Linked DNA regions of Schizosaccharomyces pombe. The protein of the gene in region 1 interacts with the protein of each later gene in a pairwise test. Each region holds a gene or a part of one and is shown in the gene's direction. Other genes may lie near its edges.

Region 1 (6,997 bases):
TGTATTTACAAGGCTAGCACAACATGACCAAGAGCATCTACCATATTTAGGTGAAAGTGCGTTAGCAGTTATGTGTACGGCAATTAAGTTTTGAAAGTATTCATGTTAATTATTTTACATTTTAAGATGTCAATGAGATATTTATTCTCAATATTTAAACAAACACCAGATACCCTAGGAATAATTCAGCGACCTTCAATATGATCATTGTAGTATAATATTTTATTGAGGATGGATACTTACTAGCAAATTTAGTAATTGATAAATCATAGTGAAAATGTCATTTATTCTATCTACGATAATACCACATGACTTAGCATAGAAAACCGTATGTTACAGTACAGCAGTAAGCAGGTTCGTTGTCTGCCGTCTACCAACCATCAACTTCACAGATCTTGGTATCTATCCTACAAAAACTTTAGAAAATTTCTTCATGGTTCAGTTTGAAGCAAACGAGAAGCAATTTAAGCTTCGTCGAGAAGATTGTTGTTTAACAATTGACCGAGAAAGTGGTGCAGTTAGTTTTGAGCCGGACGAGTTGAAACCAGTTGCCCGCAGCAAAGAAAATAGTGTCACATTGTTTGGTTCAATCAAGCTGAAAAAAGATAAATATCTTATTTTAGCTACAGAAAAATCTAGTGCAGCCCAAATTTTGGGACATAAAATATATCGTGTTCATAAATTTGAAGTTATTCCCTATCGTAACCTACTAGCTGACGATCAAGATGAATTGGATTTATACAATTTGTTACAAAATCATTTGAAAACAGGACCTTTTTACTTCTCGTACACATGGGACCTTACTAACTCCCTACAACGTTCTTGTACGGATGAGGGAAAGGCCTCACCTATTCTTCGAAGTGATAAACGATTTTTTTGGAACGAGTTTGCTAGTAAAGATTTCATTGATCTTATCGGTGCCCATTCTGAAGTATCACTTTTCATTACGCCAATGATTTACGGCTTCATCACTTCTGCTTCCACTATTGTTAAGGGACGAACAATCACGTTAGCATTAATATCTCGACGCTCTAAACAACGCGCCGGTACTAGATATTTTACCAGAGGTTTAGACGAGAATGGAAACCCCGCCAACTTCAATGAAACTGAGCAGATTACTATCGTTTCAGACGAAAAGTCAGAGGTCACTTATTCACATGTTCAGACCCGCGGTAGTGTTCCTGCTTTTTGGGCAGAGGTTAATAATCTTCGCTATAAACCATTGATGGTTGCAAATTCTGCTTCAATGGCTGCAGCCGCTGCAAAAAAGCATTTCGACGAGCAAATATCCATATACGGTGACCAGGTTGTAGTTAATTTGGTCAACTGTAAAGGACATGAGCTTCCTATTAAACAGTTATATGAAAATGTTATACGTCGTTTGGATAATCCCCATATCCATTATCATTATTTTGACTTTCATAAAGAATGTAGCCATATGAGGTGGGACCGGGTTTCACTCCTTTTAAATGAAATACAACCCGAGTTAGAAGAGCAAGGCTACACTACATTAGACACTCAAAAGTACCGTGTTTTATCTCGTCAGAATGGCGTTGTACGCTCCAACTGCATGGATTGTCTTGATAGAACCAATGTGGTCCAAAGCTGTATAGGTCGCTGGGTGCTTACGAATCAACTTCGTAAATGCGGAATTATAGGTGCTACCCATCCCCTTCGTTCCGTCATTCCTCTTGATAACATTTTTTGCAACATTTGGTCTGATAATGCAGATTACATTAGTCTTTCTTATTCTGGTACAGGAGCTTTGAAAACCGATTTTACTAGAACCGGTATTCGAACTCGAAAAGGCGCTTTTAACGATTTTGTTAACTCTGCTAAACGTTATATTTTAAATAATTTTTATGATGGAGCACGTCAAGATGCTTATGATTTAGTACTTGGACAGTTTAGACCCGATGTTAACTTCCGATATAGATTAGATTTACGTCCTCTTACTATTCGTTGTGTCCCTTATATATTATTGGCATGTTTAATCCTTTTCTTCATGACATTGTTTTCTAGATCTTCTTCTACGATCCTTCCACCTTCAATTCTTTTGATCCTGACATTTTTGGGAATAGTTGCATCTCTTTATTACTGTTTTGCCCACGGACTCCAGTTTATCAACTGGCCTAGGCTACTTCTTCCTTCTTTTTTACGCTCTGATATGACTCCAGAAGGCAGGGTATTTGTAATTAACCGCCAACTCGCTTCGAAGCATAAAGTTTGAATACTGATATTCTTATGTTAAACTATGAGTTTCCTTGTATATACTTATCGTTGATAGTTGTACTCTTGTAACCTTTGGGTACTTGATTTGTCGATGGTAAGGATTTTCATCGGATGAAATATATACGATTATTTATCGTAATAACACATTTATTAAAGCATTATTTTCCTTTGCGTGCTACAGAAGTGAAATCCTTTTGTTTGAGTAATAACAATGTACAAACTTATGCCCGTACACTGAAATTTATTCCTAGACAACATAAAGTGTTACGCGGACAGCTTATGCAGTCATTAAATATATACTGTTTTGGGTTTGTAGCGCTGCAGCAAGTTTAGACTAAGGTTAATAGTAACTTTACAATTCGGGCGATATATAATTTGAAATCATTATTTGTCGACAATAAGCATACGATTCAAATATAGACTTTTGTAAAATAATCTAATGTATTCACATTCATCTTCTATAAAGTATCCTTCAAATCAACAAAACGCCGACAACTCAGCGTTCAAAGTCTTCATATTAACATACTCATTGCAATGCATATCTGATTTAAAATTAAATGGTAAATATAGTGAAGCAACCAAGTATCATGCAAATTCCCAACGCAAAACAAATTAACGCAATTGTAAAAAAAATTGCAAAATAGAAGGTGGCAACGCTATCGAGATTTTCATCTGTGAATTGATCTAAATATCGGAAACGTTGAATTCCACACTTGAGCAGTGCCAACTAAAACATTGACCATGTCAATTGCAAAGAATATAGAAAACGATCCTAGCAAAGGGTGGGTTGTTCAAAAATTCGGTGGAACCAGTGTTGGAAAGTTCCCAATTAAAATTGCTGTTGATGTTGCAAAGTGAGTATTTTGTTTACAGTTTATATGATGGTTCGAGGAGTATGGTCATCGTCTGAATCTAGCAGGTTCAAAAATATTTAAGAAGTCAAGAGAACTTTTTCCTGAATGTGCGTTAGATTGGAGTTTTCATGCTAGAATGCCCGAAATTATTTAAAAATAAGATATTTCATGTGTTGAATTATGCTTGGGAATATTGGCTAATTAGGTTTTTTTGAATCGAATTCAAAATGAGAGAAAGGAGATAAAAGAGGTTTTGGTTACTCTTTCCACTTTCTATCGATATGAGACTTATATATTTAAATGCTTACTCCTCTACAAACTGTCGACCATTTTAGACCGTTAAATTACAAATTACTAAATAATTTATTTAGGGAATACCTAAGTACTAAGCGCGTAGCATTGGTATGCTCTGCTCGCAGCACAGATACCAAAGCAGAAGGCACTACTACTAGACTTATTAGAGCAACAGAAGCAGCATTGCGACCTGCTGTAGGTTCTGTGCATGATTTGGTTCGTATTATTGAAACTGATCATGTTCAAGCTGCTCGTGATTTCATCCAGGATGTTGGCATTCAAGACGAACTTATTGATGCTTTTCATGCAGACTGCGTTGAATTGGAACAGTACCTAAATGCTATTAGAGTTCTTTCCGAGGTTTCTCCTCGTACTCGTGATCTCGTGATTGGCATGGGGGAGCGTTTAAGTTGCCGATTTATGGCGGCAGTTTTGAAAGATCAAGGGATCGATTCTGAGTTTATTGATATGAGTCATATAATTGACGAGCAAAGAGAGTGGAGGAATCTTGATGCATCCTTTTACGCATATCTTGCTTCCCAACTTGCTAGTAAAGTTACCGCTGTTGGAAATAAAGTACCTGTCGTTACTGGCTTTTTTGGTATGGTACCGGGTGGTCTTTTGTCGCAAATTGGCCGTGGTTACACCGATTTTTGCGCTGCTTTATTAGCTGTTGGTCTTAATGCTGACGAACTTCAAATATGGAAGGAAGTTGATGGCATTTTCACAGCTGATCCCCGTAAGGTTCCAACTGCTCGACTTCTTCCTCTCATCACACCTGAAGAAGCTGCTGAACTTACTTATTACGGTAGTGAAGTCATCCATCCCTTCACTATGTCCCAGGTTGTTCACGCTCGTATTCCTATCCGAATTAAAAACGTTGGCAACCCACGTGGAAAGGGAACTGTTATTTTTCCTGATACAATTTCACGTCATGGTAGTGCTACACCTCCTCATCCTCCTAAAATTATGCCCGATGATATTTCTGCTAGCCTCGCTAACAAAGGCGCTACCGCGGTTACTATTAAAGACACCATTATGGTTATTAATATTCAATCGAATCGTAAAATATCTGCTCATGGTTTCTTAGCTTCCATATTTGCCATTCTTGATAAGTACAAATTGGCTGTTGACTTGATTACTACTTCAGAAGTTCACGTCTCAATGGCGCTTTACGAAGAGTCTGATGACGGTAATATGCATGAGGCATTCGTTGAATTGCGTCGATTGGGAACGCTTGATATTCTCCATGGTTTAGCTATTCTATCTCTTGTTGGTAAGCACATGAGAAACACTACCGGTTACGCTGGTCGTATGTTTTGCAAACTTGCTGAAGCCCAAATCAACATTGAGATGATTAGTCAAGGTGCTAGTGAAATCAACATTTCATGCGTTATTGACGAGAAAATGGCTGTAAAGGCTCTTAACGTTATTCATAAAGAATTGCTTGAACCCTTAGCTTTACATGAAGTTCCGTCACAGGCCTCGATGTTGGTTGAAAAGCCTTGGCTTTACAGTGCTTAAACGTACTGTAACCTTGAAAGTCAATTTAAAAAATAAAAAAAAAGTGTTGTCTTGCCTTCATTTTTTTGTTCTTTTTGTCTTTAAATATTTTACATTCTCTATTTTAAAATTACCGTGAGTTTTATTTTACTCATTATTATTATTTGTACGTTTATAAATAAATATTGACTACATAAAATTAATATTTTATAATATATCTCAAAAATTGATATTCATCTTCTTTATCTCCCAGTCGAAAAAATGTTAAGCAAAAGTGTATTTATTATATAAAAACGATCAGCTTCAATTAAATTGAACACGAACCTAATCCATGGATACAGTAAAATACAATGAACTCATTTTAAGAAACAAAAAGTAAATGACCCAAAATAATCTATTACTATGATTACTGTTTATTAAACCTAGTTTTCAACCTTTAATTTTTTCCTCTTTTCAATATCCCTCTTCCGATTGCGAAGCGCATTGTTGTAGTTTTCGTTTTTGCTATTTTCGTTTTTCAACTTACTGTAAAGCTTTCTCTGTTTATTACTCATCATCATTTTGGATAACTCCTTTGCCTCTTTTTCTTCTTTTTCTTCTGCAGTCAAAGTATCACGTTGACGCTTCTTAGTCTTTTTCGCGGACTTAGAATTCTGTTTAACATATTCAGAATAAGCGACACCGCCTGCTTCTGCCTCCAGCTCTCGTTGATGTTCTAAGTCTTCCTCTTCAGCGTCATCAATTTGTTCAACATTTTCAGGCTCGTCATTCTTCTTACTTATGGGCACTGCTTCGCCAGAAATATTATCATCAAGAGCTTCGGAAACATCGTCGTTCTCTTCAGCAGAAAGTTCAGCTTCAGGATCGTAGTCATTTTCACCTACTTTAACAAATGGACTAAGATGAGGAGGGAGCGTAGCGCCACAGGCATACAAGTCTGTCCTTTCCAAGATTCCTTTGTTGATAGAGTCGTATACCCATTGTGGTTGAATATATATCCTACCTTCGTACTTCTGTGAAATATGAGGACGATCACATATATGATGAGTAATCACAGGATCAGATTCTGAAAATGGAGAACCTGATCCGAGAATTGGATCCCATCCAACTTTACCACCAAAGGCACGAATCACAAATTCCAGAGAAAAACGGGGGACTTCACGAGAAAGGAAAAAAGTAAAATTAGAAAACAACGAGGTATTAGATGATGAAATATGTGATACTAGGCTTTTGGAATCCTCATTATCTGCACCATCAGCTGGTTTAAACTCATCTAAGTTTTCCTCCGTTTCAGGTTCCTCATCAGCATCCTCAGTAGTTTTTTCCGACTGCTCAACGACGTTCGCATCACTATTCACAATATCTCTTATTTTACTTTTTAAAGTAGCAATATTCTTACGAGCATTTTTGTTATTACCATGGACGATAGCGGGTAAGGAAGAAGACTCCTCTAACTCATAAGCTGCTAAACCAGCGGCAGATTCGCTTTTAGCAACATCAATCTTAGGGGGATAACGAAGTCCCAAGGTATTATATAACTTGAAATTTACAAACCCCATAAGTGCTTGATAAAATTCCAAAAAAGTGTGCATGATACGAAAATCAACATCGGTAGGAACAGATTGAGCAAATTTGTAGGGAACAATCCAGGTGATTTGCTCACCAAAAATCTCGGCCTGATAATAAATTCCTTTAATAGAGAGGAAAGCTTTACGAAGGGAATTTGACCGAATTACATAGTGTTGAAATTCAGCACATAATCTTTCACAATTAGCGACAGTAGCGGCACCAATCTTGTCGGTAACAGGCATAGTTGAAAATAAGAACAGCATACTAAGAGCATCATCAATATCTTTCAAGGCATCATGGAAGGTTGGGTAACGCTCTTTAATGATATGATCCAAAGAATAAGTGGGTTTTCTGGCCTCTAAACGTTTAGCAGTTTCTAATTCCCCTTTTCCCAATGCTTTGCTAAGCTTGCGAGCGAACACTTTGTACTCGCGAAACTTCTGTACAATAGGCTCATGTAACAAATACTGGATATCCTTAGTATAATCTATTATATTTATTAGTACATAATTTCATTCTTTTAGTTCATCAAAAAAAGACTAGCC
Region 2 (5,836 bases), 3.1 Mb from region 1:
ATCGTTATAGTGTTTAATATTTTAATGACATGCTAATAAGCGATCTTTGTTAGGTAATCGAGCTGTCGAAAACAAACTACTTTTAAATTTAGTTTATTTCATCCACTTTGACTCTGTAACCTTTTCCAGATTGATTAGCAAAAATCAGTTTTTTATTACTTGAATTTTTAATTGAAATCTTACTGCTTTCTTGTTATAATAAAAAAGCGTAACTGGTATGTCTAAAATCAAAGTTCGTAAAATAGACTGATTTCAAACATTTTCTTTCAAGTATTCACATGAATGCATTTTAGCATATGTTTAGCTAAATGATGATTATGTTTGATAAATGGATCCCTTCATTCGGTTAAAATTTTATAATTACCGATTATTAATATCTGATCATATGCTTACACTGTCGTTAGTAAAATTCTTCCTTTAGCGGTTCGATATTTTCTCGTATTAAAAAAATTTCTGTATTCTACAGCTTACAAATCATTACTTTGATTAAGTTAAACTATGCCTCCGATTAAGACTGCAGTGCTTGGAACTGGTGTGTCAGCTTTTGTTTTTCATTTCCCATTCCTTGAAGCTTTACCTTCAAAATTTGAAATTTATGCATGTTTAGAACGTAGGGCAACAGTTACACAATCCAAAGCACGCTCTGCATATCCCAATATTTTGGTTTATACAAACTTGGATGAATTATTAGCCGACGTCAATATTGAGTTGGTCGTAGTTTCCCTACCTCCCAATGTTCATTCTGAAATTGTAAAAAAAGCTTTGAACGCTGGTAAGCATGTGGTTTGTGAAAAGCCGTTTACTCCTACCTATGAGGAAGCCAAAGAGCTCTATGAACTTGCCGAATCAAAAAGCCTACTACTGGCAATTTATCAAAATCGTCGGTGGGATGGTGATTTTCTGACTGCTAAAAAAATAATAGAAAGCGGAAGACTTGGTCAAGTTGTTGAATTCGAATCTCACTTTGATCGATACCGTCTGGGTCGAAAATCTGGAAGTTGGAAAGATGAACCTAGACCCGGGAACGGAATGGTGTACGGGATAGGCTCACATTTAATTGATCAAGCAGTCTCCTTGTTTGGCACGCCTTACTCTGTTACTGCCAAGCTGGAAGCTCAACGTCAAATTCCTCCTTTGGAGGTGGAAGATTATTTTCGTATTATTCTTCATTACCCTGCTAAAGGAAACAAACTTCCAATCAACGTAATTCTGTCTTCTACTAATGTGTCATGCGGCTGTGAAATGCGATTCTGTATTAAGGGCACTCGTGGTTCTTTTATGAAATTTGGGTTTGACCCACAAGAGTCACAATTACATTCAGGAATGAAGCCTAACGATCATGGATTTGGAACTGATAGATTTGAGCTCTATGGAAACTTATGGACTGTTCCTTTGGATGCTGACGTGAAAGCTTTGCCTGAACCAACTAAAATTACGGTTCCTACTGTTCAGGGAAATTACCGGGACTTCTACGATGCGGTTTTTGAGGAAATCTTAAAAAAAGCTAACGAGTTTCCTATCAAATCTGATCAAGTTTTGGCAGTAGAAAAAATAATGGAGGCTGCATATAAAAGTTCTGAATCTTCTAGCTCGATCCAGTTGTAAAAGAATATTTACAATTTTATTAAATGAAGTAACCCTTCAGTGTGAAAATCCTTGCTTGTTTTTCTTTAAACTAAATGAGAAGTGATCTTAGAATTAAAATAGTGAATATTTGGTTTTAACAATTGCGTTATAACATCTCATAGCCATAATCAATGGTAATGAATTGCATGTTTTAGAAACCGTTTAAAGAATTTGAAATGGGATTACCAAAATCATATAATGTTCAAATGAAGGGAATATTGTTTTCATATTTAAAGCTCCTTTCCAATAAGTGGACGACCACTGGGACTGAACGTACAAAAGACAATAAAGTCATACTAGTGAAAAGATTCACTGTTGCTATTCTGTAATTATCTGTTTAAGCAGCATTAAAATTTTAATGCTCGTTTCATATGATATTGTTTGCGTATTAACGAAGTTTTCACAATTTCAACACTCTATTCTGACTATTGATTCTTCTTGTCGAGCTAAAAAAATTGGTAAATGCATTGATTTTCTATTTAGTATATAGGTATACCAAAACAATATGAAGTGAAATATGCTTTTCTTACAGACACCCAAACTATATTTGAGAGCTTTTTGATTAGGATACTGTATAATAAAGATTGAATCAAACAAACCATACTTTTACGAGAAGTATGATTTATGGTACTCGGTTATTGCCATTCTGTTCATCCTCCATGCTAATTTCACAGCATGTACTAAGTGTTTTCGGAAATAAAAGTAAATCTATCTTATAACTCTCTTACGATGAACAATTTATTTTTCGTTCTGACAATAAGTTTAACTGAAATTTAATTGAATGTCCCAGCCTTTCATTAACCACTAGATCGCCAGTTCAACTAAAAAAGATTTATAAAGTTATTTATTAGCTTTCATCAAAATCCGTTTCAATAAAATTAGAAAATATGCTTTAAATTGTGCGTTTACCCTCATTTGTTACATTAAGAGTCCATATATTTACTCAGTACTTAAGTTAAACAATTGTGCTGCTCATTCTATTCCATCGTATTATATAAAAATTTTATTATTGAGTGTCCGTAATTTACAATCCTATTTCTTTTGAATTTCGGGATGATTGATACGATTACAAGCAAATTATTAAATACTGCTATGAGAGCTACATGTGTCAAATAACTTACTGTTCGAATATATTCGGTGCGCCTTATTTTAATCTTTGTTTTTAAGAATACTTCTTTTTTCTATTTTCTCAATAAAGGTTTATAGTTCTTATTGTTTATTGAATAGTGATTATCAACGAAAAGTGGTAAACAAGCTTCAAACCAGCTACATAGCTCAGTATTTACTTAAGAAAACAGTAAACTGTGGTGTGTGCTTCGTTACAATATGCTGTTTTCTTATACGAATAAGACAAAGCAATTATTATTATACTACTTGAATGTAATAACTAATGTAAGTGCGACTAGAATAAAGTCAGATGGTGTATTTTGATATATTGTTAAACCCACTCTAAGAAGTTATAGTATGCAGAATGAATAATACTAGAGTACATGGTATAGCGATAAGTAAGGAATTTTCAGTTTACTAATCGGTAAACCGGATAGAGAAGTGCATAACGAGTTTACATCACAGAATGAAAGAATGCGGTAAACTGGGCAAGTTATTCCATATACATCTTCCATTACTACTTTCGGGTTTGCTCATTAACCAACCACTTATTTTATTTGAAATCTGTTAAATATGGGTGTCGAAAAGCAAGTTATTTCTGTAAGTGTTGAAAAAATCGGTAATTTCTTTTGAATCTACAAATATCTTCTCTGGTTATGTTTGTAAACAATTCATCCGTGTTAGTCGGTTCACCACTGATTTGCATTTCCTTAATTTGTCACATTCCTGATGTCCTTGTCTCTACATTATTCCTTTCATACAAATTCTAACCTTTAAAAAAGTCCGGAAATGGTCAAGACTTTCCCAAACCTGGTGACAGGTATGTATTTAATGTGTGATTTCACTTTAACTCTTTGTTACCAAAGGAGCTTTGCTTCTCCTTTTCTTAGGGTCTATAGTGAATTTGCTTACAATTTTATTCTAAATGCAGTTACTAACACCATTTAGAATCACCATGCATTATACCGGTATGTGAAATCTACGACGAATTATTCTAGCAAATCAATTTTTATATTGTGTTGTTTTCTCCTTTCCAAAACGAATATTTCATTGCTGACATAACCGTGGGATAGGTACTTTAACCAATGGTAAAAAGTTTGATTCATCTGTTGACCGTGGATCCCCATTTGTTTGCACTATTGGCGTTGGTCAATTAATTCGCGGATGGGACGAAGGAGTACCCAAAATGAGTTTGGGTGAGAAAGCTAAGCTTACTATCACTCCTGATTATGGCTATGGCCCACGTGGTTTCCCTGGATTGATTCCTCCTAACAGCACTCTTCTTTTGTAAGTACAAATGTACATTTTTCGTGATTTATTTTTAACCTATATAGCGATGTTGAGTTGCTTGCTATCAATGATAAGAAGGCTTAAATGCTAGTGTTTCGCTTTTTATGATACATGCATCTTACTAGCGGTTGTTACTTATTCCACAATTTTTTTAGTGTTTTAAGTATAATAACGTTTCCCAGTTTAGAAATATATCTTTTTTTTTTTAATATCTTATATTTTCTTGCACTATGATATATTTCGTATAGCGATAATGATGCCTACGATCAATAGATTACTGCTAAAGAGAGAAATATTTACTTCTGAAAAATTTCACTTTCATAAGTTGAATCAAACTTCTCCGACTGTATTTCAAATAGTTAAATTACACGTTCAGTTTTCAACTAAACCATCAAGAAAAAAATCATATGGTATGATCGGTTTATTTCATTAGGTTGAACAGTATGAAAGTTAAAACAGGAATTCTATACGATTGTCAAAGAAGCAACAGTTTTTTAACGTTTTTTACTCCAAAAAGGATAAGTATCATGCAATGAACTAGCAAATTATGCTAACATTGCTAATACTAAATATGGGCCTGAAAATATAGGCATATACGGCACTTGCTAGAGTTGTATATGTCGATCATTCTGAGCTTAAATTTTAATAGTAGATATTTGAAAGAAACAAGAAAACTATTGGTTGAACAACTGTTTTCCATTGCCTTGTTCTCAGAACAAAGCAAAAGGGGTTGATAGAGACAGGCATTGGCGAATTAAGACAGCCCAACAATATCACCATTTTCTGCGATATCAATATTGTAATAGGCTGGCTTGGTAGGTAATCCAGGAATAGTAGATATGGCTGCTGCTAAAGGATAAATGAATCCAGCACCAGCACTCAAACGCATATCACGAATTGGCACGGTAAAATTAGTAGGGGCACCTTTTAGATCTGGGTCGTGCGATAAACTGTATTGTGTTTTGGCAATGCAAATGGGTAAGTTGTTGTATCCTTGTTTAGTAAACGTTTCAAGACGTTCTTTAGCCAAGGGACTCAATTCAATGCCGTCAGCACCATACATTTCTTTCGCAATAATTTCAATCTTCTTTTCGATGGGCTCGTGTACATCGTAAAGGAGGCGGAATTCAGAATCCACATTCTCGCAAGCATTTATCAAAGCACGTGCAACACCTAGAGCTCCTTTACCACCTTCGGCCCAGTGGTTAGAGTCTACAGCATCAGTTGCACCGGCAGCAAGGGCTTCTTCACGAATGGCACTAATTTCATTAGGAGAATCGGAAGAAAACTTATTGATTGCAACCACAACGGGTAAACCGTACTTACGTGCATTACTAATGTGCTTAGCCAGATTAGCGCATCCTTTACGAACCAAATCAACGTCTTCGCGCTTATAAACCTCAGGGATAGGTTTACCAGGTCCAACAGGAGGACCGCCGCCGTGTAACTTCAATGCTTGAACAGTTGCAACGATAACAATGGCATCAGGCTTTAAACCTGAAGTACGACACTTGATATTAAAGAACTTTTCCATTCCGATATCGGAAGCGAATCCTGCCTCAGTTACAACATATCCAGCTTCTTTCTTAGCATCCTCATCCACTTCGGTACCCGCTAATTTGAGGGCAATGCGATCAGCCAGAATGGAAGAGGCACCAATACTGATATTTGCAAAAGGGCCAGCATGAACAAGAGCAGGAGTACCCTCCAACGTTTGCATAAGTGTTGGTTTAATTGCGTCTTTGAGCAAGACTGTCAAGGCACCACCAACTCCTAAATCATCAGCGGTAACAGGTTCACCAGATTTGTTGCT

The links.
Region 2: the proteins of hom3 (region 1) and fkh1 interact in a two-hybrid assay, tested with the Schizosaccharomyces pombe proteins (one large-scale study listed by BioGRID).

The regions. Positions count from the first base shown.
Region 1 is NC_003423.3:3,706,299-3,713,295, forward strand, and holds hom3 (aspartate kinase), read left to right. Parts: upstream 1-2,947; 5' UTR 2,948-2,973; coding exon 2,974-3,086; intron 3,087-3,457; coding exon 3,458-4,904; 3' UTR 4,905-5,135; downstream 5,136-6,997. Other genes in the region: sac11 (inositol polyphosphate phosphatase), read left to right, coding at 434-2,230; ppp1 (pescadillo-family ribosome biogenesis protein), read right to left, coding at 5,306-6,939. UniProt on the Schizosaccharomyces pombe protein: Phosphorylates aspartate, the first step in the biosynthesis of amino acids that derive from aspartate (the aspartate family of amino acids), including methioinine and threonine, the latter of which is a precursor to isoleucine.
Region 2 is NC_003423.3:630,113-635,948, reverse strand, and holds fkh1 (FKBP-type peptidyl-prolyl cis-trans isomerase Fkh1), read left to right. Parts: upstream 1-3,271; 5' UTR 3,272-3,306; coding exon 3,307-3,333; intron 3,334-3,515; coding exon 3,516-3,553; intron 3,554-3,681; coding exon 3,682-3,701; intron 3,702-3,806; coding exon 3,807-4,020; intron 4,021-4,067; coding exon 4,068-4,107; 3' UTR 4,108-4,252; downstream 4,253-5,836. Other genes in the region: SPOM_SPBC115.03 (gfo/idh/mocA family oxidoreductase), read left to right, coding at 499-1,605; C1-5,6,7,8-tetrahydrofolate (THF) synthase, trifunctional enzyme Thf1, read right to left, coding at 4,778-5,836. UniProt on the Schizosaccharomyces pombe protein: PPIases accelerate the folding of proteins. It catalyzes the cis-trans isomerization of proline imidic peptide bonds in oligopeptides. Has an important role in sexual development and serves as the target for rapamycin action.